6 linked regions of the Rattus norvegicus genome follow. The protein of the gene in region 4 purifies or fractionates together with the protein of the main gene of each other region. This does not show direct contact. Links are inferred from orthologs where the notes say so. Each region holds a gene or a part of one and is shown on either strand. Other genes may lie near its edges. The genes, in order: Polr3h, Polr3gl, Polr1c, Polr3f, Polr3b and Polr2e.

Region 1 (4,063 bases), on a different chromosome or scaffold from region 4:
AGTGTCTGCACATCTACCACCAATATTACCCCTAGTCACAGCCCTCACAAGAGCTGCTCAGGGACTAGAGATGCATAGCGCACCTCAGCGTTGGGCAGAGCTCCCTGCAGTGATTTCTGGGGGGGCTTCTCTCACAGGATCGAGTGAACTGGCCTCAACGAGGCATGGTGATCCTTGCCTGTAATCCCTGCAGTTGAGAGGGAGGCAGAGGTATCAGAAGTCCCAATTCTTCCTTGGTTACACAGTAAATTTAAAGCGAGTTCAAGTCCCACGAGATGCTGTCTCAAAAATAAGAGGGAAGATGCTATTGGCAAACCGGCTCAGCAGTCAAGGTGCCTGCCGTCCATCTTAACCGACGCCGGGTCCTGGACCCTTCTCCTCACGAGGTGTGCGATGACCTACTCATGTGTGCTGTGGTTTATACACCACATTCAAAATAAATTCATGTAATTAAAAAAAATAACAAAGAGAGAAGCCCTGGATGCCGTGACTGAATGGGCATGACCTCCACAGGCCCATACACTTGAATGCTGACATCATCAGGAAGGGCTACAACTTGAGAAAGACCAGAAGGATTAGGAGGCGTGGCCTTGTCAGTGGGAGTGGTTTGACTCCCTTGGTAGATGAGGATGTAGCTCTTAGCTACCACTCCAGCACCATGTGTGCCAACATGCCTCTGCCACGATGCTCAAAGACTAAACCTCCGAAACCATACGCAAGCCTCCAGTAAAACACTTTCTCTTGTTGTCCTGGTCATGGTGTTTCCTTACAGCACTAGAACAGCGAGGGCAGCTGGCACACACCTTTAATCCTAGCACTAGGCGGCAGAGGCAGGCAGCTCTGGGTTGAAAGGCCAACCAAAACTACATAGTGAGATCCTGTCCCAAAAAAGGAAAGTCAGCATCGTTTTTCCTCCATCTGACGAGCCTCAGGTCTGTGATATACCCCTTCTTCCGGCCTCGGCCTCCTGTAAAGGATCTACCTGTCTCCTATGTAAAGCCAAACCTGTTCTTTCTTCCTGGCTCTCAGATCACCTCCTACTGACTTGAAAAGAACAACTTGGACTGTAAGGCCCTCCAGGGCTCTGTGGTCCGGCTTCTGTCTACAGTTCCTAGACCAGCCTCTGTGTTCCAGCTACACTGGCATTCTCTGTGCTTTCTTAGATGCCACAGCCCTCCTGCCTCAGGACCCTTGCACATGCTAATTGCGCTGTCTCCACAACTCTTTATACCTAACCTGCTCCAACCATCAAATCAGAGTCTGTCTCTTGGCTTCTCCTCGCCGTCAGCTCTCAGGTTAGTGCTGTTTTCTCAGAAGTCACCAATCTCTTTCATCCCAGGTGGCACACCTCTGTTCTCCAGCTGTGTGAATGCCTGTCCTTCATGGCATCCACCCTGGCTCATTAACAAGGGGACCCTCTCAAGCCAGCTCTTCTTCCTCACTATGCTACACGGGCAGAGTCTCTGTCTCCCCTGCCACGCTCTGGCTAAGTACTGGGGATAATGAAAGGATTACATCAGAGAAGGTCTGTATTCACAGAAAGGGACATAATACAGTAACCAAAAGAATACAAGGAAGGGGCCAATGAGCTGGGTCAGCTGGTAAAAAGCCACCTCTAAACCTGACAGCTGAGCTCAATTCCAGAGAGCACGCACTATCCTCTGACCTCTGTACTCACCCACTTGGACAAACTGAGGCCCAGAGTAGGTGACCTGGCCAAGACTGCACAGTAATTGAAGGAGGAAACAGGCATTTTCCGGTTTCCGTTTTACAAACCCATTTCGTACTCTGTTTTGTTTTCCGACAATACGGAGAATCAAACCTCAAATGTCAAGCAAATTTAAGCACTATTCAACACCCCGGTGTTTTTGGTTTTTTTTAGGTTTTTTTGGTTTTTTGTTTGTCTGTTTGTTTGTTTTTGGTTTTTTGGTTTTTTTTTTTTTTTTTTTTTTGAGACGTTTGTTTCTCCGTGTAGCCATGGCTGAGCTCCCTCTGTAGACCAGGCTGGCCTCGAACTCACAGAGATCCACCTGCCTCTGCCTCTTAAGTAATGGGATTAAAGCCATGCGCTACCACCAGCAGTTTCGATGCTTAATTTGTTTGAAACAGGTTTATTATGTTGCCCACGCTGGCCTCGAACTCAGGATCGTCACAAGCCTTATTAACCCAAGAAGCTGGGATGACAGGTATACACTACTTCGTCCAGCCCATTTACTCCCTTGGGTACACGCTGACATCCAAGTCTGGTTTATAAGGAAGGGAAGGAAAGAAACCCTGACATGAAGTTACGTTAAGTGTGTAAGGCCAAGGCTGAAACAAGGGACGGCCAGACAAGCAGCGGGACCGTTCCGGACACTGCCCGGCAACCCGAGGGCCTAGTACCTTGTTGGCCAATTTCTTGTTCAGCTCCTCAGCAATGGAGTCGTTGAGTTTCCGCTCAAACTGCCACGGGGGTATGCGCACGGTGTCCACCATCTCCACCAGCACGAACATCCTGCGCTAGGGCTCTGGAACCCAAAGAAGCTGTTAAGCACGCGGGGCTGAGAACGGTGAGGGGCTGGGGGTCCCCGAGCTGCCCCCATTCCCTCTCGGATTCTAACAAGCCAAGCCTGCAGCCGAGCCGCGCGGGAGGGCAGGGCCTGGGGTCCCGCTTGCGGATGCCACGCTCCTCTCCCGGAGGAACCTGAGGCCCCATTCCTCCAGGCTTGGAGAAGAGCCGACCCCGTCCCATCCCCGCCCCGACCACTCCGCACCACGCGCGGAAGCCACGCACCATTCACGCGCGTCCAGCGGCTCGGAGGCCCCAACGCAGCGCTAGCCAAACCAAATGAACTCAGCTTCCGGAGAACTGACCAATAAGAAGCATCTGCCCGCCCCTACGGGTCGCAGAGCTAGGCAAGGCTCCTGTGAGGGGAGGAGCCTGAAGGTGGGCGGAGCCGCCTGCACTCTCCCGCTACTGAGAGGAGAGGGGCGGGGTACAGCGCTGAGAGGGCGGGGCCTCGTTCTGAAGCCAGCCAACCCCGGCCACTGAGCGAGTCTGGTTGCTAGGCGATAATTCTGCTCTTCCAGCCTGTCTTTTCTTTTGCACAGCAGCTAGAGAGATCCTTTGAAAATACAAATATAACACGTTCAAAATAGTCTTTACTCGGGCTGGAGAGATGGCTCAGAGGTTAAGAGCACCCGACTGCTCTTCCAGAGGTCATGAGTTCAATTCCCAGCAACCACATGGTGGCTCACAACCATCTGTAAAGAGATCCGATGCCCTCTTCTGGTGTATCTGAAGACAGCTACAGTGTACTTATATATAATAAATAAATAAATCTTTAAAAAAAAAATAGTCTTTACTCCAGACAAGTACCCAAGACAGTGGGCAAAAAAGGGTCACCAGGCCTTTCTGGGTGACAGTAATTTTAAGTGGTGCAATTGATGTATGTACTCACTAAAACTCAGCACACTCCGTCCTTAAACAGCTGAATGCAAACAGTCTCACACTTGTAATGCCAGCACTGAGGAGGTAGAGGCTAGATAATCACTGCAAGTTCAAGACCAGTTTGAGTTACAAAATAAGACTTTGTTTTAGCGGCTCCCTTCCCCGCCGCCCCCCCCCCCCAACACAAAATTTTGGTCAGCCAAACATAGTGGCAAACACACCTGAATTCCAGCACTTAGAAAGTAAAGACAAAAAAAAAAAAAAAAAAAAAAAAAAAACGGGGCTGGAGAGATGGCTCAGTGGTTAAGAGCACTGATCGATTGCTCTTGCCAAGGTCTTGAGTTCAGTTCCCAGCAACCACATGGTGGCTCACAACCATCTGTAATGGGATCCGATACCCTCTTCTAGTGTGTCTAAGGGCAGTGACAGTGTACTCACAGTCGTTCAATAAATAAAATAAGATCTTTTTTAAAAAGACAGAAAAACTAGACATTCAGATCAGCTACTTAGTGAGTTCAAGATCACCCTGGGGTACAAGAGACTTTTTTTTTTTTTGTAACTCTTTCTTTTTATATATTTTTTTAATTTATTTTTATTGGATATTTTTATTTACATTTCAAATGTTATTCCCTT
Region 2 (4,006 bases), on a different chromosome or scaffold from region 4:
TCTTTGGCTCCACAGTGAGTTTGGGGCCAGCCTGTAGAATTCACTACCTTCCTCTGACCTATGCACCAGGGCACACACTCCACCCAGGCCCACTAACAATAAATACGGTTTTTTCTCATTATATAATATTTTATTTAAAAATTTTGCCTTTTCAGTGTACACTTTCTCATTAGCAACTCCCACGGTGGGAAGACAGTTTATTACTTAGTCTTACATTTTTTGGACAGCTCATTCGTGCATAACTGAGATACATTTGAAGAGTAAGTCTGTTTGCAATCTGTCATATTTGAACCCACCTACAAAGGAGAACTCCCTAAATTGAACTTCCCAAAATCTAACTTTCCTTGATTTCCTTCCTAAGACTTAAAACGTCAGTAACTGAGGGCATCTCCTGATTAAAAGTCCCCTAGAAACAGAGCCACCAACAGCTGGGGCCACCTGAACAAGAGTGGAAGGTTCCAAACAGAATACTGTTCAATTTCATGCAAAGTCTGACTCATGAATGAACAGTGCTCCCTCCAGGTCTGAGGAGAGAAGTCTACTCTTATCCTGACAGCAATTAGCTGGCTCTCCTTAAGAAATTGTGATCAAAGGCAACATGAGCCTATGAAATGTTCAGTTACACGATGAGTCACGTGAACTGGCGTCCAGACTCAGTGACTATAGGACTCAGACTCACGACTGAGTGAACCTAACTCCTCAACAAATAAATTCTGAAAATAGCCATGTAATTAGAAGACATTCTGCCCACCAACGGATTTACCGTTCATCCCCTCCTCATTGTGAGGTGAACAGCATTGATAAAGCAGAGGCAAGGAGGCATGCAATCAAAGTGCTACACCAAGAGGTCAGAGCTTCCACAGCATGGCAACCGCTCTGCAGATGCCTACATTGTGGTAATTGAAGTAGCAAAGCCCAGCAAAGGTCAAAGCTGAGACTGTCCTCATGAACGTAGGCAGAAACCACTTGTCCAAGGCCCCAGTAACTGTGCAGGGTGAGGGTTGCAGCCAGAGAGTAGTCCACCACAGAGCAGGGATTCAAGTACCCAGCTGGAATCAGGCCCAAGAGCAAAACACTGACAACCCTCTCACTGGTCCAGTGGAGAGATGCAGCCTTGGAACCAGACTGGTGGCTTGGTGACAGGTGAATGTGCTGGGTGCCATGCCATCCTGGGGTAGGCTGGTCCTGGAGAAATGTGGACACAAAAGCAGGTCTGACTGCCCAGTTTCGGAGTAACAGAGCTCGAGCTCCTTGGCCACTGCAGAGAACGCCCAGCTTTAAGAGGACCGCCATGTCGCTTTTGAGGGCTCCCAATAAATAAGTTTAAGTTGAACAAATACAAAGAAAAAATAAAATAGTGGCTGGGCCTGAAAAGAGCTGGTGAATTCTCTTACTAAAGATGCTGGCTCTGGAGTAGGGGTGTGGTTCAGGGGTAGAATTAATGCTTAGCATTTGTAAGACAAGATTCATGCTTCTCAATTTAAAAGAAAAAGTTTATTTGGGGTGCAGTGGTACAAGCCTGTTATCCCAGGAAGGCTGAGGCAGGAGGATCATAAGTTGGAGGCCAGCCTGCTTGTCCTGCATAGGAAAAAACCTGTCTCAAAAATATTTTCCCACATACTCAACAACAATTTATTGGATAGATGTTATCAGAGGGTTCACTATGATCCCCATTGTCTAACGCTGTGTCTGGGATGTAGTAGGTGCTCAGCAAATTCCTGTTTGAACAGGAGTCTAGAGACCCTGTGAGTCATAAAGACTCCCTTATGGTTCTTATAGCTGATTTCCTTCTCTGGTCTGAGAATAACTATAAAACATTAATGCAATAAACCACCAATTTAAAGGCCTTTAATTATATACTATGTTGTCTTTTATTGTTCCCTAATTATATTAGGAGTTTAAAACTGGTTCCCACAAATCAATTCCATTTGATGAACGCTTATTGAACACAATGTATTAAGTACCACAACCTGTCCCATCAAACCTTCGGTTCATGGAATAGAAACATCAAAAGAGAACGTGTAATCCTAGCACTGGGGAGACTGTAGCAGAGGAATGCAAATTGGAGGCCAGTATAGGCTACACAGCAAGAGTCTGTCGGTAAAAAGGATGGGAGGGATGGAGGGAGACAGTGAGCCTCATGAGATACTAAATACTCTCTTTGCCAGGTGGCCAGGAAAACAGATTGATTAGCTCAAGTTGTCCTCTGACCTCCTTGCGCAAGCCATGGCGCGCACGCCACCACCACCACCACCACCACCCCGATAATAAATGTGATTTTAAAAGTTAAATAGATTTCAATAATGATAATCAGACATTGTCAGGCTGAGGATCAGTAAACTCTTCAAGGAGGTCTAGAAAAGCAGTGGGTAGAGGGTAGCGAGCGGTTCAGTTGACTTGATAGGTAATAAGAATCTGCCAGGCTCTTGACAGGAGGTTAATGTTAACAGACGTGGAAGAAGCTGATACCATAGAAGAGTCTGAGCTACAAGAATGAGCATTCCTCTCCTGTTTTAATATCTGTCCCCAGGCACGACAGCAAGCTGTGTCTCTGGTGTACAGTCAAGACAGCAGTGAGAGCCCGGGAAGAAAGGGGAGGGATTCAGAAGGGGGCTAGTCCAATAGGCTGACAGAAAGCGTTAACTACGTTGCTGTCTGGCGCCGAGGGACTAAATCTGGAAGTACCGAACCAAACCCGGTCAGAGCCACCAGGTCCAAGCCTTACCTGCCGTCCCTCCCCCACTCGGGCCCACGCAGCCGCCAACTTGAAATTTGCTTTTCTTCTTCCAGCCCGCGTTCTAGGCCCGCCTCCCTGACCTCTCCATTGGTGGGTTTTCCTAGCCAATCAACAAGAGCGGAGGCGGGCAAGGAGGGGTGGAGGTGGGAGCAAGCCTAACCGGAACTGAGGCTTGGCAAGTAGGGCGCGCTGAGACCTGGGGCTGCAGTGTTCACCTCTTCTGCCCAGACGGAACCGACTCTGGATGGCAGGAGTCGGCTAAGATGACCTGCTCCTCAGAGCACTTCCAGGCACGTAGCTGAGCCAGAAGAGAATTGCTGCTGGGAAATGTAGCCTTGTGTTAGAGAGACCAGACTGCTTAACTGTTAACGGCTCGGCCAGCAGGAGACTGGAGTTAGTTCCCAGAACCCTCCAGGAGGCTCCCAACCGCCTCCAGCGGTCTCCAGTGGAGACTCCAGCGTCCTCTACTGGCTTAGGACCCCTCCCTTGCCCCCCCCCCCCAACTCCCCAGCGTCAGTCTTTTGGTGACTTTCCGACCCTCTCTTTCAGCACTACCAATAAATACTTAATCTTTTTTTTTAAAGATTTATTTTATATATGTGAGCACACTGTAGCTGTCTTTAGACACACAGAAGAGGGCATCAGATCCCATTACAGATGGTTGTGAGCCACCATGTGGTTGCTGGGAATTGAACTCAGGACCTCTGGAAGAGCAGTCAGTGCTCTTAACTGCTGAGCCATCTCTCCAGCCCCCAAATACTTAATCTTTAAAAGATTTTTTTTCCCTAAAGACAGGTTCTGGCTACTCAGTCTAGACTGGCCTTGAACTCTTGATACTCTTGACTCTGCTACCGTGGTCAGGCCCCAAATGCCCAGTCCTGTGAATTGTTGCTATGTCTGAGAAGTGGGGGAGGGAAAGGCTCTTGGGATCAGAGAAGTCACTGGGGAGAGAAGGTGGGAATCCAGTGGGCTTTTTTGTTTTTTTCTTTCTGCGCTTTGCACTGCCCTTCAAGCCCCTTCAAGGGAATGGTGTGGAGTAGAAAGAGTCATCCTGGGTTGGGGATTTAGCTCAGTGGTAGAGCGCTTGCCTAGCAAGCGCAAGGCCCTGGGTTCGGTCCCCAGCTCCGAAAAAAAGAAAAGAAAAAAAAAAAGTCATCCTTTCACGGAGTAGAAGTAAATGGAAATACTTCAGGATGGAGATAAAACTAGGAGTTAGTCAACATGAATATGCCAGAGGTCAGAGAAAATGCTTGTGGATGACACATACTC
Region 3 (4,019 bases), on a different chromosome or scaffold from region 4:
CTCTTCCCTGCCTGCCACATCTGAAAGGAGATGGGTATTATGAAAAACTCCTGGCTCTAGACGGTTACCCGGCCTCCGCTTGATTTCTGTGTATGTAGGTCTAAGTGGAAAAAGTGTATCAACCTAGGACACACACAGGTCTTCCTTTCCATTGGCTTACCTGATCTGCTACCTGCCGGCTCAGTTGTCCCTTAAAGCCTTTCATGCCGAGAAACTCCCCGTCCTCTTCTTCTGCAGCAGCTGCATCAGCATCTACCTCTTCCTCACGCAGGCGCTGATGTAGTTCACCCATGTCCTCGAAGCTGGAGCCTGAGGTATCGTCCATGTTCTCCATATCAATCACAGCCGAGCCCCCACCCTGTGAAGACAATGGCTCCTAGTGTGAGGGGCCCTTCCGTTGCATCCTTTGGTTCTCCCCTCATCTGACAGTTTGAGGCTTTGCTCTTCCACTGACGAGGATATGGCTTGGAACTGCTACCCACTGTGTTATACATAACCTTTCACTGCTGGCAACTCTTGGTGGCGACACTTGTAGTTCGCCCTCCCCCCCCCGCCCCTCCCAAAGCTCCAAAGAGTTGCAAAGAAGCCCATCTGCCTTTCCCAACTCTCAAACAAGCCTATTTTAGGAAGTGCCGAAATTCTATCCTGTAGTCCCATACTATGCCTGATCCAGGCAGATCCCCCAACCCGTCTGCAAAGCCCCGGGCAGGTACAGAGACTCGAACCTTAATCTAGCCCTTTCACGCCAGCACAAGCTCTACACACTTTCGCGTGGAAGACTGAAAGAGGACAGGCAGTGTGGCAATAGAGCCGACTTCCACGCCGCGAGAAAAAATAGCAACCACACTCGGCCGCCAGCCCGGGGAGTTGCTGGCAGCAAGAGCTCTCAATACCTGGATGTTTTCTTCGAAGCCTCCCCATTCCGGGCCAGCACCATTTCGGACGCCGCTGGCCGGCGCCGCCTGAGTCGCCATGTCCCTCGAGGCTTCCCGTCGCTGAAGCTAGCGCTCGTGGGAATAGTGTGAGACCTGGGCCCGAGGGAAGGAAAGGTTCAGAGGAGCGACTAGGCGAGGTAGGACCAGCCGGAACGCAAAAGTGAGAAACCCGGATGTTTGGCCCCAATTGACGTCCGGAAGTGAAGGACGTGGACAGAGGCGGGACAAGATATCGCGACAGTGAAGATTGCCGGAGACGGAACGTTGCCGCGGAGACGGAGGCGGGCCGCTAGCACGCACGCGCTAACTTGGAGCCTCCTCTCACGGCTGATGGTGGAAGATGGCGGCTGCTCAGGCGGTGGAGGAAATGCGGACTCGCGTGGTTCTGGGAGAGTTTGGGGTTCGCAATGTAAGAGATCGGACCGCGGGAGTGATGGGGGAGGCACGGGAGAGAGGAGGCCTGGTGTATGGCCTGGCCTCACTGCCCTTTCTGTTGGCTCTAGGTCCACACCACTGACTTTCCCGGTAACTACTCCGGTTATGATGATGCCTGGGACCAGGACCGGTTCGAGAAGGTGGGTAGGGCTGGAAGTGTCCAGACGGTTTGAGGGGCCAGACCTCACAGGTTGGGTTGGGGATCTCTGTTTTCATGAAACATGAAAACATGTTTCCCGATCCATGGACGGGCCGTCAGACACCGCTCCTGTTTGTGGAATAAATTGTTTGCTCTCGGTGGGGTAATGGGCCACAAACAAGTTATTTCAGTATAATAAAATAGCGATGAAGATGGCTGGGATGGGGTAGGAATCATTGATGCACTTAATCCAGCCAATTGAAGGGACGTAGTTAGGGAGTGACATTTGAATTAAGCTTTGAACTATGAATAAAAGTTGAGCGGTGAAGGCCTAATTCGAGTTTCATTATAAACGCTTGTATAAGGTTTGCTCTTAGTCAGCTGCAGCAGCTCATTTTTGTCAGAATGTAAGTCCACCAGCATGAGCAGTAGATAAGATTGGAATGCATTTTAGACTCTGTAGGTGATAGATTTTTATTTTTATGTCTTTTTGAAACAGGGTTCCATGGCTGCCCTGGCACCCCCTCTGTAGACCAGGCCGGACTCAAACTCAGATTGGTCCACCTGCCTCTGCCTCCCGTGCACAGGATTAAAGGCATGAGCCACCATGCCCCGTTAGAATTTTTCAGTAGACTGATAAAATTTTGCAGTCTTGATAGCTGGGAAGGAATGAATCTGGCGAATCTGCCAGCTAGTGTATGGAGGCTGAAATTGGGGGCATGGATGAACTGCAGATGGTGGTAATGGAGTGAGAGTAGTAACTAGCTGATGCAGACCATTGCTGTGGTGAGGGCAGTGTGAGAAAGGACCTTGTGGCTTGAGGAACGGATAACCTTTTCTTGGTATGTATGTTTGCCTGCATGTGTATTTGTGCACCACTGCTCCCAGCAGTGTGAGGAGGTCCCACTGGGTGCTGGGAACCAAATCCATTCTTCTGCAAGAGCAGTAAGTGCTCTTAACTGCCGAGTGGTTTCTCCAGCCACACTGGGGAACTGTGTTGCTGGCTGTGTCATTTGCTAAGCGGGAGGACCAGGGCGATGGCACAGTTGTTTGCGAAGTCTACCGGTCGAGTGGTGATGCTTGAAGTCAGACCAAGGTCAGGAGCTGCTATGCCCTTGCTTGAGTCAGCAGCATGAAGGTCACCCAGGGGATTTAGAACCTGGGAGAAAGTAACGTTTACTGGGTGGAAGAGAAAATTTAGATAAGGAAAAGTAGATATTAAAAAATGCAAGTATCAAATGGTTTAAATAGGTGGGAAGTTCTGCTTTTTGTACAGTAGCTTTGCTGGGTGGTCTGTGGACTATCTGAGAAGCCAGGCATAGTGGCACACACCTTTAATCCCAGCACTCAAGAAGCAGAGGCAGGGGGTTGGGGATTTAGCTCAGTGGTAGAGCACTTGCCTAGCAAGCGCAAGGCCCTGGGTTCGGTCCCCAGCTCCGAAAAAAAAGAAAAAAGAAGAAAGAAAAAAAGAAGCAGAGGCAGGTGGATCTTTGAGTTTGAGGCCAGCCTAGTCTACAGAGTGAGTTCTAGGACAGCCAGGGCTACAGAAAAACCCTGTCTTGAAAAACATAAACAAGGAACAGTACACTGCCCTCCCAGTGGGACTAGAGACAAAATGTCTACTGATGATCTTGGGGGATAGTGCCAGGGTAGACTGGGTTCACACAAGAGGAACAGGTTTCCCACCCACTGGGCTTTCTCTACCCCTCTAGAACTTCCGTGTGGACGTGGTGCATATGGACGAGAGCACACTGGAGTTCGACATGGTGGGGATTGATGCTGCCATTGCCAATGCCTTCCGGAGGATTCTGTTAGCTGAGGTATTAGAAGTCGCGGGCTGGAGTGTGGAAACTGTCACCCCATCTGTAGACTACCGGGCGGGTGGGGCGGTTTACACCTATAATATGAACACTTCAGAGGGCAGTCCGAACTACACAGTAAACCTTGTATCAAATCTGAAGGGCAAAACTAAGAAGGGCTGCCCCTCGTTTTTCCAGGTAGGGGATGGGTGGAGGTCAGGTAGATCATTTTGCTTCCTTGGGCAGGTGCCAACAATGGCTGTGGAAAAGGTTTTGGTGTATAACAACACATCCATCGTCCAGGATGAGATCCTTGCTCACCGCCTGGGGCTTATCCCCATTCTTGCTGATCCACGTCTCTTTGAATATCGGAACCCAGGTAAGGCTGAGAGGTTGAGATTATGAGTTAGGCAGAACTGTCCTGGAATCTGTCATGGGCTCAGATCCCAGGCCTAATTAACTGTGATCTTAGTTGGCTCTTGTACATGGGCCTTCGCCTGTGAGAACGTTCTCTTGCCCCTGCCTTTAATCCCTCACTCTTAGCACAGTGCCAGCAGCGCTCAGAGGCTCTTTCCACCTTTACATGGTTTCTAGGGATTGAAGTTGGGTCTGTAGGTTTAAGCAAGCATGCACCCTCTGAGGCTTCTTGTCAGCCCGTTACTAGAGCTAGTAGGGCCAGGCAGGCATGGTGGTGTACATCTTTACTCCCAA
Region 4 (3,435 bases):
ACTGGGGTGAAAAACAGATGGTGTAGAAAAAGAAATACCCACTTTACAACCCAGGCCCGAGCTGGCACACACACTCCCATCACCAGCTGGTCCTGCCTGCACCACTTGTAATTTCTTCTCAACAAAACCCAAGAAAAACCAAACAGAAATGGCGGTAATAAACCCGATGAGTTTTCAATGACGATCTTAAGTAACTCAAGTGGGCATCTTCTCACTCCAGCCTTTATCTCAGTACATGGTCAACGTAGGTTTGCTGGCTTCTTTTCCTTAGTCTTCCAGACCTTCAAGGTATTTTACTTAATGAAGAAGAGACTTCCCAATTAAACTTTATTAAACTTAATCTCCTTTGTTTTCTGTCTTCATAAATAAGTGTTTCCATAGCAGCAAGTCAGTACCCATTATTGTGAAGTATGCTCTCAAAGTAATTTGACACTCCATCATGAATTATTTGTTTCCCACGAAGTTCAGTTTGCCAAATGTAAATAAAGTTCACAGCTCTATTAAAATTCGAGCCACTCTGTCATGTAAATACAATTAGATGGTGAAATTTCACCACCTTCATGGCAGTCATCAAAAACCTTAAAAAAAAAAAACATAAAAGTTTATATTCAAGTTTTAAAATATCAAAACCCCACCGATTTAAAGCAGTATTAAAAGAAAAAAAGAAACTCTTTGAAACAGATGAGGACTACATTGAAGAGCACACTGTAACAGTGTCTACTTTGTGGTCATGGTTAACTATAAGCTTTTATATTTTTGGTTTGTTTGGTTCCTTTGATTTTTGGTTTTTTAAGAAAGGGTGTCATTATGTAATCCTGGCTGACATGGAATTCACTATGTAGAATAGGCAGGCTTCAAACTCAGAGATCCAACTGCCTCTGTCTCCCAAATGCTGGGACTGCAGGTATGCACAACCCTGCCTGGCTTGCAGGCATATTAACACAGCATAAAGATGAACCTTTCACCTGTCCTTTCACCTGGGCAAAAGGTTATCAGCAGGTGCATAGGAATGAAGGAAGTGAGTCCTATACTTATCGGCAATTTAATTTTTACTAAATTGAAGATATTCTGTGTTTAGGTATCTTCAAAGAGTGCTAAGTAGAATTATCAGGATGTTCTTGGTCCTAAGAACAGAAGCATGTCCCTACCCTGAGTGCTCCAAGAAAGAATATAAGTCCTATTCATCAATCTGTGAATCCATCAAGGGTCTGGGGGAGGGGTTAAATAGCTCATGTGACACAGGTGGGAAGCCTGCTGTGCCTGTTGTTTCTTTATGGCCTCTGCATAAGACAGTGATAGAAGTAAAACTGAAGCAGCTTTCACTTACGGGACAGAGTCCACAGGGTGCCCGGACCAAGCCTGTAGGTGGGAGGATTGGGTTGACTGCCCTGTACAGTTTCATGTGTCCATCAACGCTCCCAACAGTGCCTTCCTTGGCAGCAATGATAGTCATATCCACTTTGCCATCATAAATGAGTGTGTTCAAGATGGTTTCAATGTCCTCCATGGACAACTCTACCTAGAAATGGGTACATAGAAAGCATGCATAAAGGACAAAGAAACCTCCTTTCAGAGAAGGTATTACAAACAGCAAGAGGTCACAGCCACTCAGTCAAGTGGAAAAGCCATGCTCTATGGAAGAGCAATGGAAGGCACAAATAGGATGAATAACAGTCCACATGAGCACAAACCACTGCCATGCTGAGGACAGAAGTCTATCTTCATGCCCAGCCTCACACGATGTCAGCATTCTTTAGAAAAAAACCTAGAAGGCTTATGAAGTGACATTTATTAAAAGATTTATTTATTTTATGTAAGTACACTATACACCATCATCGTCTTCAGACACACCAAAAGAGGGCATCGGATTCCATTACAGATGGTTGTGAGCCACCATGTGGTTGCTGGGAATTGAACTCAGGACCTCTTGAAGAGCAGTCAGTGCTCTTAACCACTGAGCCATCTCTCCAGCCCTGAAGTGACATTTCTTTGGCAACCAAAACCCACAAGAATTTGGACAGTCTTTTTAAAAAAAAAATTATTTAATGTATATGAGTACACTGTAGCTGTCTTCAGACACACCAGAAGAGGGCATCAGATCCCATTACAGATGGTTGTGAGCCACCATGTGGTTGCTGAGAATTGAACTCAGGGCCTCTGGAAGAACAATCAGTGCTCTTAACTGCTGAGCCATCTCTCCAGCTCTTGATGAACATTCTCAAAATGTTGCTATAGAGAGATACTTGAGACATGAAATAAGTTGAGTTCCTAATTTTTTAATCAATGAGAATCTGGGAACCAGAACTGAAAATGACTTCTCCAAATGCTACTTTGGCTTCTTTGCAGACCATGAAAAGCATCAGTGTCCTTATGTAAAGGTCTTCAAAAGGGTGCTGAGGGACCCTTACATTTGACTAAGTAAGAAAGTATCAATAAATCATACTAACACTGTAACAAACTCAACTATCAGACAATCAAGAACTTAGAACATTTTCACTTTGGGTGAACAGAACTGCCAGGACCCAATTGAGAAGAGTTCTCCAGAGTCAGACACTTATGGTGTCTGCCTACTGTAAAACAATGCTTTTCCAAAGTGGGTTCAGCAGAATGTGGACCTGAAAGGGCGATGGGTCAAACACACCACAGCTACAGCCTTGTGAGGAAGACTAGGCCATACAGTCGGGGTAGAAATAAGCTCTGACCTTACTGATGCCCAGTTCACAGATGTACTTCCACACTTCATGTGATGAAGCAAATGAACTGTTTCTTTGTATCACTGGATTCTGTTTACTTTCTCTTGCAGTCTCTGCCTGTGAGATTAGAAGAGGAAGCTCAAGCAAAAATTCATGTTAGTGGTAAAGTTACGTGTAATACCAACAGTAGCACATATGATAAAAATTTCCAATTTTTGGGATTTTTAATCTACAAGTCAATATTTCACAAAATCTCTTTTTAAAAGAACTTGTGATATTTCCTTAATGACCTCACCTTGCTCTGTAGGAATTTGAAACACTGTTGATTAAGCACCTCAACAAATTCAGATTCAAAATCCTGGTCACTGTACCAGGCCCCGCCAGTCACAGACCGGTCTGGCTGCAGGTTATAGAGCATGTAAACCTTCTTTTTGGAAGCCTAGGAAAGAATATGCACAGATCATTTCTTTATAAACTTCTAGAAACTAAACTTGAACAGCCAACACTTATATTTTATAACAGTTTTCAATATACCGAATAACTGCAAAAATAGCAGAGAGTCACTCAACTTGGGACTGTCTCTAAAGTGAGGGCTGTCTTCAACTATGCTGCAGCCAGCACTGTCCATGGTCTGCTGCTGTATATTGTAAATCAGAAACCTCACAGGAAGGCAAAGAACACTGGTTCAGATACAGTATGGTATTTAAGCACATTTTCCTTTGCCTTTCATTTTATAGCCACC
Region 5 (3,500 bases), on a different chromosome or scaffold from region 4:
CTGGTTCCGATGACTTCTGGTTCCTCAGGTTCTATATAATGTAGTAACATAGGCTGTGCTACAAATCCTGAATGTTTTTATCATTATTAATTATATATAAAACTCATTAAAGGCTTACTTAAAAGAATTAAACCAACAGTTTTAGTAACTTTTCAATTAACTCTTACAATGATTTACAATTAAAAGTCAAATATGAGCACTTTACAATTAGTTTACTGGGGTTGGGGATTTAGCTCAGTGGTAGAGCGCTTGCCTAGGAAGCGCAAGGACCTGGGTTCAGTCCCCAGCTCCGAAAAAAAGAACCAAAAAAAAAAAAAAAAAACAAAACATACAATTAGTTTACTAAATACATAAAATAGTGGTGTTAGAAGAGATTTGACAGCAAGTTCTCCAGTATTTAAAATCAATGAGAATGTTATTTAAGAGCAGTTGTTTCTTACTTTAAGTACCACATGGGATCAGCATCGCTTGTAACCTTTTCGTTGGCTTTCATTATCTTCTTTATCTGTAGTAGAAAGTGCAGAATGAGAAACAGAGCTCTTGCTTCCGACTGGTCCTCAATTTACATCTGGTTTTAACCCTGAATACTCACCTCTACATTAATGAAATAGTTAAAGGAGTCGATGTGCTGTTTCACCAGGCCTTTTACCTAAACAGAGAAAGAACAAAAGACAGCAACAAAGTAACAGGTTACACAAGTCACTGTGGCCACAGGTAACCAACCATCCATGTTTCTCAAATACAAGTGAGGGCAAGATTAATAACGTATTTAATTAAAAACAAAATGTAAAGGACCATCTAGTGACTTATTACGTGAAAAATAACTATTATTAAATATCAAACAATTACCTTTAAAAATGCTGGAAGCAGCCTCCATTTTTCCTGTGGACCAAACAATAAGAACATGAGAACAAGTGTAGTAACCACAAAACACAATTACTGTGGTATGCCAAGTTTAAGTTTAGAAAGAAGCAAACCAAACAGGGAATATTTTATAATATAATTGCTATTATAAACATCAGGTTTCTGTGGTGTACATGTGTATAACCACATATATATATACCACAGGTTTTCCATAATAAAACCTCTTCTGGATGACAAGATTCCAAACACCTTTCAAATTTATTCTCATGGCTGAAGGGAGGATCATAGCTTGAAAAGAGATCTGTAAGTCTGAGTTCATTCTGAACCAGAGCCTCAGGCTACCTCAAGGCTTCCGGGGGTCAGCACATGTGGGTATTTGCTCCTCCACTGACAGACTGCTAACTGCCACTCCACTCGAGTTTGGGGACTTAACTTGAAGATCACTATATCTGGGGACTGCCTCTTTTCACTTATCCCATCTGCTAAGGGAGCCCGAACAGCTGGGTACAGCTGAGTCTAAAGTCAGAATATCCTGTTCCTAAGGAAAGGTTTATGGACAACCCACAGCTTTGTAGCAAACATTAAAAAAAAAAAAAACAACAACAACAAAAAAAGGCTTTAGGGGCTGGAGAGATGGCTCAGCAGTTAAGAGCACTGGCTGCTCTTCCAAAAGACCGGAGTTCAGTTCCTAGCAATCAAGTCCCGAGTTCAATTTCCAGCAATCACAAGGTGGCTCACAACCATCTTCTGAAGTCCTCTTCTGGCAGGCAAGTATATATGCAGATAAGAGTATTTATATACATAAAATAAATAAGCACAACAACAAAAATAAGCAGAACAAAAACTGGCTTTCACTTGAGGGACCTGAGCAGCACTGGAAAGTTCTGAGTGGAGGGTGATGTACTATCTCTGTGTGTATCAACTGGATCGCTCTGGATGCTGGGTGGGCATGCGCAAGGCTGGAAGCAGGCAGTCGCTTAGCTGATCACAGCAGCCCAGGCGGTAACAGTACAGGTAGGAAGTGGGAAGTCATTTAGCTAGCAGGCAAGTGCTTGAGCAAAGCCAGTAAAACAACAGACTAGATGGCTCCCTGGAAAAAAGTGAAGTTAAAATTAACACCAGGGTTTCTGGTCTGAGGAAACAGAGGCATAGAGACAACATTGACAGAAATGAGGGGATGGGGCCAGGCGTAGGAGCAACGGGTTTTCAAGGGTCTGAGATACCAGTTAGACATTCAGGTAGAAATGTCTAACGGGCAGTAGATGTCTGGAACTTAGAAAAAGAGTGCCCTGGGGTATAAATTATGGAGCAGTTACTAAAGCCAAGGGACAATGAGATTGCCTAGGAGCAATGGAAAACAAGTTGCACGAAATGAGAAAAGCTGAACACAGTGGTGCACACCTTTAAGCCCAGCACTTGAGAGGCAGATCTCTGTGAGTTCAAGGCCAGCCCGGTTCCAAGACACCCAGTGCTACACAGTGAGATCCTGACTCAAAAAATGAGGGGGGGGGGGATGATGGATATTTCTAACATCTAGAAATGAGGACGAGGATGTGGGGAAGCCCAGAAAACAGGCAAGCCAGTCTGTGATAATAGAAAGCAAGAGTATTTGGGTGCTGGGTGTGTGTGTGTGTGTGTGTGTGTGTGTGTGTGTGTGTGTGTGTGTGTGAAAAGGTTGTAAGAGAACTTTTTTTGAGTGATGGAAATGTTCTAGAGTGTACACTGGATAACAGTTGTTTCCCTTATCTGCAACTATCAGAGCCAAAGCAAGCGACACTCAGTATCTGTGCAATACTGTGTTCCATTGTATCTCGTTGAGCAGAAAAAGAAAAAGAGGATGAAGACCAAAATTACAAGCTAGACTAAATTCCTACACTGGCTTCCATGTGGCCTGCGGGGCTGCAGAAGAGGTCAGTAGGTAAACTCTACTTCAACATGGCTGGCACCCACATAACAAGGGGGAATTTGGACAGATACATAAAGGGACACTGTGAGGTAAAGATGAATACAGATTTCAGCGTGATGCCCCTGTAAGTCAAAGGCTGTCAGTAAAGCAGCAGGTGTTGGGGAAGAGGCACGCGCTGGAATCTTTCCCAGACTTCTGTAAGCTTCATCTTGGATTTCCAGCCTTCAGAAAGGTGGGGAATTAAACATCTGGTTTTTCACACTATCAAGCTGTGGTACTTTGTCACAGCCATCCTATGCACTAATCTAGCTTTTCAAATTCCTGCTCCCATATTTCAAAGTTTCCCCTCTGTGCGCAATGAAATTCCTGTCTTAGAAACAGAAGGAATGCACAGTCCTTGTAGAAAACTCGCTGCCACAAACACTTTTTAATCTCCTCTAGAAATCAGGAAACCCTCCCCTACTCAATCACCCCAACTCCTGGATGTGTACTCAGCAACCTTCTTCATTGGTTTGTTCTCAACCTTTAAGCCAGCTGTGATGGCCCAGGCCTATATAACCCTAGCAGTTACGAGGCAGAAGCAGAACCAGTTTAGAATCAGCCTCCGTGATATCGATTATCAATTCAAATCTAGCCTGGGCCGCATAGAACCCTGTCTCTGGGAAGTAAGAAAATACATAAGTAACATTATATCGCCGCAAGGACAACAGTAGAGAGAGAGCCTGAGAGT
Region 6 (4,148 bases), on a different chromosome or scaffold from region 4:
GAGAGGGAGAGGGTAGAGGGAGAGAGAGAGAAACACAGGCTCCATCCCAGAACTCAGAGATCTACCCACTTTGCCTCCAGAGTGGTGCTAGAATCAAATGCCTCTCTCTCTCTCTCTCTCTCTCTCTCTCTCTCTATATATATATATATATATATATATATATATATATATATATATATATATATATATATATATATACATATACACTGTCACTGTCTTTGGACACACCAGAAGAGGGCATCGGATCTCTTTACAGATGGTTGTGAGCCACCATGTGGTTGCTGGGAATTGAACTCAGGACCTCTGGAAGAGCAGTCAGTGCTCTTAACCACTTAGCCATCTCTCCAGCCCCTCAAACTCTCTCATTCCCCATGCCCACATCCCCTTACTTTGCACCCACAGCTCTTAGCCAACTGTAGCAACCACAGCCCCTCAGCCCTGGTCTACAGGGCATATGGTGGGTTCAGTGATCGGTGCCCTTGGCCAAAACTTGTCTTTCCAAGTCAGGATCAGCCTAAGTTTCCATACCAGAACCGGTCATGATCTGTAGACCTCAGTCAGACTCACATCAGGACAGAATGGAGGGTACAGTCCGCATCTAGATTTCCAACGACAGCCCTTGCCAGTTGCGATGGTACAAGCTTTCAATCCCAGCACTGCGGAGGCAGAGGCAGGGCATGCTCTGCGCTGTTGAGACCTGGTTTACATTCTAACTTTCAAGGCAGCACGAGTAGCCCACCACATACACACTTGTTTGTCGATTGTCTATATGCCTATATGTCCATTTTTTCCTTCTAGTTTTTAGGATTTTAATCATGTGTGTGGGTCTGCATGTGGGTTTAGACATACCCAGAGGCCAGAGGCCCCAGATCCTCTGGAGCTGGAGTTACAGATGGCTGGGGGCGCTGGAATCCGATTTCTCATACAAAGTGCAAATATATTAATAAAAACTTATATAAAAAGGGAAACTGAGGCACATGAACCTGGCTTTTCATCATCGGGCTCCCCCTTTCTTTCTTTCCTTTTCTTTTTCGAGACAGGATGTCCCTGGCTATAGACCAGGCTCGCCTCAAACTCATCGACTGCTTGCCTCGGTCCGGGATTAAAGGCGTGAACTACAGCCAAGTTTTCTTTTGCAAACGCCTAGTGGGAAAATACTAAGGCAGGTCAAGTATCGCGCGATCTTCCCGTGTGCGATCTCGCGCAGACACCGCCGCGGTAAATGCTGGGATTGCCCACCGCTCAACCTATCCTGGAAAGTTGGTGTATTCCGGCGATCACCTAAACCAAACCTGGGCGGGGCCTTCTCCGCATTCCGCGCAGGCGCACTGTGCTGGGGGCGTGCACTTTATGCTGTCCCGCGCAGGCTCAGTCCTGGTAGGTCTACGAGCGCGCGTGCAGAGTTGTTTGTGAAGTGCGACAACATGGACGACGAGGAGGAAACGTATCGGCTGTGGAAGATCCGCAAGACTATCATGCAGGCGAGTTGCATGGGGAGGTTTTGAGCGAGCGCTGAGCTGTGGACTAACTGCGGTTGTCTGTCCGCTCAGCCCAGCCTCCAATGGGGGCTAATCCTCTTGCTTCAGCCTCCCAGGTAATAGGATGCATCCCCTCTTAAAGTGTGGAGTCCACCCACCTCAGTTGTTGGCAATCCTCCTGCTTCAGCCTCCTCCCCCTGCCCCAGAGGAAAAGTCCTAGCTGGACTCTCTGCTTCGGAAACGGGATACATGGCTGCTACACGGTCACACCTGGTTTACGGGGTGTTGGGAACGAATGGTTTCCTCAGTACTAGGGAGCCTCACCATCGACACCCACATGGTAGTTCACAACCATCTGTAACCCCAGTTCCAGGGCATCTGTGGCCCTTTTCTGGTCTCTTGGACACACGTAGGATTAAAAGAAGCTATTTAAAAAAATAAAACAAGCCGGCATGACGGCGCACGCCTTTAATCCCAGCACTCTGGAGTTAGAAAGAGGCGGATCTCTGAGTTAGAGGTCAGCCTGGTCTACATGGTAATTTCCCGGATAGACAGGGTCACATTCACGCAGAGAAACCCTGTCTGGAAAGAAAAGGGAAAAAAGGAAGACATTTTGGTTGTTCGAGTTGAGTAGATAAGACCCCAGTGGAGAAAGAGGTATTAATAGTTTTAATTTATGCTGTGTTGGGTGGAGCCCAGGACCTGATCTAGGCCTCCTCAGGCCTGTTCTCAGCCCTCATTAGGAGGGTCCAAGACAGGAAGGTTGCCAGGTCATTGACCCCAGCCTTCTCTGGTGAGGCTGGAGGGAAGGGAGGAGGCTTGGCTGGGGCCTCTGTAGTCTCAGCCTATGCAGAATTTGGGTACTGCGGGTCAGTCAGTGTTAGTCCCCAGCTGTCCTCTAGCTGAGTACTCTTCTCTCTCTACAGCTGTGTCATGACCGAGGCTACCTGGTGACCCAGGATGAGCTGGACCAGACACTTGAAGAGTTCAAGGCACAGTTTGGGGACAAGCCCAGCGAAGGACGGCCGAGGCGCACAGACCTCACCGTGCTGGTGGCCCACAACGATGATCCCACAGACCAGATGTTTGTCTTCTTCCCAGGTGAGGGTCCTTGGGCTGGCAGTAGTGGCATCCTCTGGGGGCCTCCAGTTCTGGTGGCAGCTGCCTGCTTTGTCCCTGTCTTCCCCTGGGAAGCTTCCATTTCACCGGTGTCCTTTTTGCCCCTGAGTCCGCAGACCAGTGCTCAGTCCCCCTGCTCCTGTTGCTGTAGTCTACAGTTGCTGTCTGAGGCCCAGGCGGCTCTCGGAGGTTTGTGGTGCTCTGCAGCTCCTCCAGTCTCCGCAGGCAGCTTGTTTCCTTTAATACCTGATGTTGATGCCTGGGGCCTGGGGTTTTAGTGTGAGAATTGGGGGTGCAGGGATGGGCATGGTAGCATGTGTTTATAAATCCAGGAGGCGGAGGCAGGCAGCCGAGGCCAGCCTGGGCTACACAGTGACTTCTAGGACAGCCAGAACTATGTAAGGCAGTGGCTGTCAGCCTTCCCGACAATGGGACTCTCCATGTTGTGGTGACCTACAGCCATAAAATTTTCATTGCTGCTTCCTAACTAATTTTGCCACTGTTATCATAATGTAAAAAGGTGTGTAGAGTCTGGATAAGGTCCGATAATTTGCAGACTAGGTGACTAGGTGACCTGGACCTGCTCTTGTGCTCTGCGTCCTAATGCTCCAGTAAACCCCACTCTGCCTGAGGAGAGAAGGCTTAGCCCCATGTTAGACACAGGGTCCACCTCCTGGTCAGACAGTTTCTCCTTGAGGCTGCCCAAGCTGACAATACCATATTCCACAAATCTCAGAGCTGCTGAGAATTTCACCCCCTGGATCAGGAGGGGCGGACAGTGCAGCTTTCTTCCGCCATGGCTGCCCCGTGATAGCCCCACCGCGGCTGGCTTTGCGTTCTGGTCTTCCTTTGTGAGTGGAGAAGCTAAGTCCACAGGCAGCAGGACATCAGGGACTCTAGTGGTGGGTGTGAGGGTCACACTTGTGTGCCTGCAGAGGAGCCCAAGGTGGGCATCAAGACCATCAAGGTGTACTGCCAGCGCATGCAGGAGGAGAACATCACACGGGCGCTGATCGTGGTGCAGCAGGGCATGACACCCTCCGCCAAGCAGTCCCTGGTAGACATGGCCCCTAAGTACGTGCTAGAACAGTTTCTACAGCAGGAGCTGCTCATCAATATCACAGAACATGAGGTGCGTGTGTCCCAGGGAAGGTCTGGGTGGCATGGCGTGGTCTGGACAGGATACGGGAGGGCCCTGGATCTTCCCAGTCTCAGGCCGTGCCATTCATAAGCTGGGCAGGGTCGTTCCCCAGTTTTAGTGCAGTGGCCTTGAGCATCCAACTTGGTGATATTAGTAGCCTGGTTGTGTCCTCTGTCCCAGCCCTGTGGCAGTACCCATTAGCCTGTTGAGTCTGTCGGTTTCTGATGGCCGCGGGTGGGTCTCTGTTTCCACAGCTAGTCCCTGAGCACGTGGTCATGACCAAGGAGGAGGTGACGGAACTGCTGGCGCGATAGTATCCTTTTTTTTTTTTTTTTTTTTTTACGTGTGAGGCTATATGCCCATATGCACAAAGTAGCCTCTTTTTTTTTTTTTTTTTTAAGATTTATTTT

Evidence for each region.
Region 1: the proteins of Polr3f (region 4) and Polr3h purify together in Homo sapiens (affinity purification with mass spectrometry; 4 studies listed by BioGRID and IntAct, with this or other methods). This does not show direct contact. The link is inferred for Rattus norvegicus from reciprocal best matches to the Homo sapiens genes POLR3F and POLR3H.
Region 2: the proteins of Polr3f (region 4) and Polr3gl purify together in Homo sapiens (co-immunoprecipitation; 5 studies listed by BioGRID and IntAct, counting the BioPlex papers as one, with this or other methods). This does not show direct contact. The link is inferred for Rattus norvegicus from reciprocal best matches to the Homo sapiens genes POLR3F and POLR3GL.
Region 3: the proteins of Polr3f (region 4) and Polr1c purify together in Homo sapiens (affinity purification with mass spectrometry; 4 studies listed by BioGRID and IntAct, counting the BioPlex papers as one, with this or other methods). This does not show direct contact. The link is inferred for Rattus norvegicus from reciprocal best matches to the Homo sapiens genes POLR3F and POLR1C.
Region 5: the proteins of Polr3f (region 4) and Polr3b fractionate together in Homo sapiens (co-fractionation; 4 studies listed by BioGRID and IntAct, with this or other methods). This does not show direct contact. The link is inferred for Rattus norvegicus from reciprocal best matches to the Homo sapiens genes POLR3F and POLR3B.
Region 6: the proteins of Polr3f (region 4) and Polr2e purify together in Homo sapiens (affinity purification with mass spectrometry; 4 studies listed by BioGRID and IntAct, counting the BioPlex papers as one, with this or other methods). This does not show direct contact. The link is inferred for Rattus norvegicus from reciprocal best matches to the Homo sapiens genes POLR3F and POLR2E.

What each region holds. Positions count from the first base shown.
Region 1 is NC_086025.1:115,317,082-115,321,144, forward strand, and holds the start of Polr3h (DNA-directed RNA polymerase III subunit RPC8), read right to left. Parts: upstream 2,801-4,063; 5' UTR 2,774-2,800; intron 2,508-2,773; 5' UTR 2,494-2,507; coding exon 2,383-2,493; intron 1-2,382.
Region 2 is NC_086020.1:186,815,170-186,819,175, forward strand, and holds the start of Polr3gl (DNA-directed RNA polymerase III subunit RPC7-like), read right to left. Parts: upstream 2,801-4,006; 5' UTR 2,726-2,800; intron 1-2,725. UniProt on the Homo sapiens protein: DNA-dependent RNA polymerase catalyzes the transcription of DNA into RNA using the four ribonucleoside triphosphates as substrates. Specific peripheric component of RNA polymerase III which synthesizes small RNAs, such as 5S rRNA and tRNAs.
Region 3 is NC_086027.1:22,232,099-22,236,117, forward strand, and holds the start of Polr1c (DNA-directed RNA polymerases I and III subunit RPAC1), read left to right. Parts: upstream 1-1,219; 5' UTR 1,220-1,275; coding exon 1,276-1,344; intron 1,345-1,438; coding exon 1,439-1,510; intron 1,511-3,221; coding exon 3,222-3,329; intron 3,330-3,554; coding exon 3,555-3,687; intron 3,688-4,019. Other genes in the region: protein YIPF3, read right to left, coding at 1-20, 161-358, 894-974. UniProt on the Homo sapiens protein: DNA-dependent RNA polymerase catalyzes the transcription of DNA into RNA using the four ribonucleoside triphosphates as substrates.
Region 4 is NC_086021.1:152,371,798-152,375,232, reverse strand, and holds part of Polr3f (DNA-directed RNA polymerase III subunit RPC6), read right to left. Parts: intron 3,133-3,435; coding exon 2,989-3,132; intron 2,811-2,988; coding exon 2,703-2,810; intron 1,520-2,702; coding exon 1,328-1,519; intron 579-1,327; coding exon 501-578; 3' UTR 1-500. UniProt on the Homo sapiens protein: DNA-dependent RNA polymerase catalyzes the transcription of DNA into RNA using the four ribonucleoside triphosphates as substrates.
Region 5 is NC_086025.1:21,023,634-21,027,133, forward strand, and holds part of Polr3b (DNA-directed RNA polymerase III subunit RPC2), read right to left. Parts: intron 883-3,500; coding exon 850-882; intron 650-849; coding exon 593-649; intron 506-592; coding exon 441-505; intron 1-440. UniProt on the Homo sapiens protein: Catalytic core component of RNA polymerase III (Pol III), a DNA-dependent RNA polymerase which synthesizes small non-coding RNAs using the four ribonucleoside triphosphates as substrates.
Region 6 is NC_086025.1:10,316,010-10,320,157, forward strand, and holds the start of Polr2e (DNA-directed RNA polymerases I, II, and III subunit RPABC1), read left to right. Parts: upstream 1-1,348; 5' UTR 1,349-1,424; coding exon 1,425-1,481; exon of another isoform or gene 1,482-1,561; coding exon of another isoform or gene 1,562-1,594; intron 1,595-2,404; coding exon 2,405-2,579; intron 2,580-3,532; coding exon 3,533-3,729; intron 3,730-3,992; coding exon 3,993-4,051; intron 4,052-4,148. UniProt on the Homo sapiens protein: DNA-dependent RNA polymerase catalyzes the transcription of DNA into RNA using the four ribonucleoside triphosphates as substrates.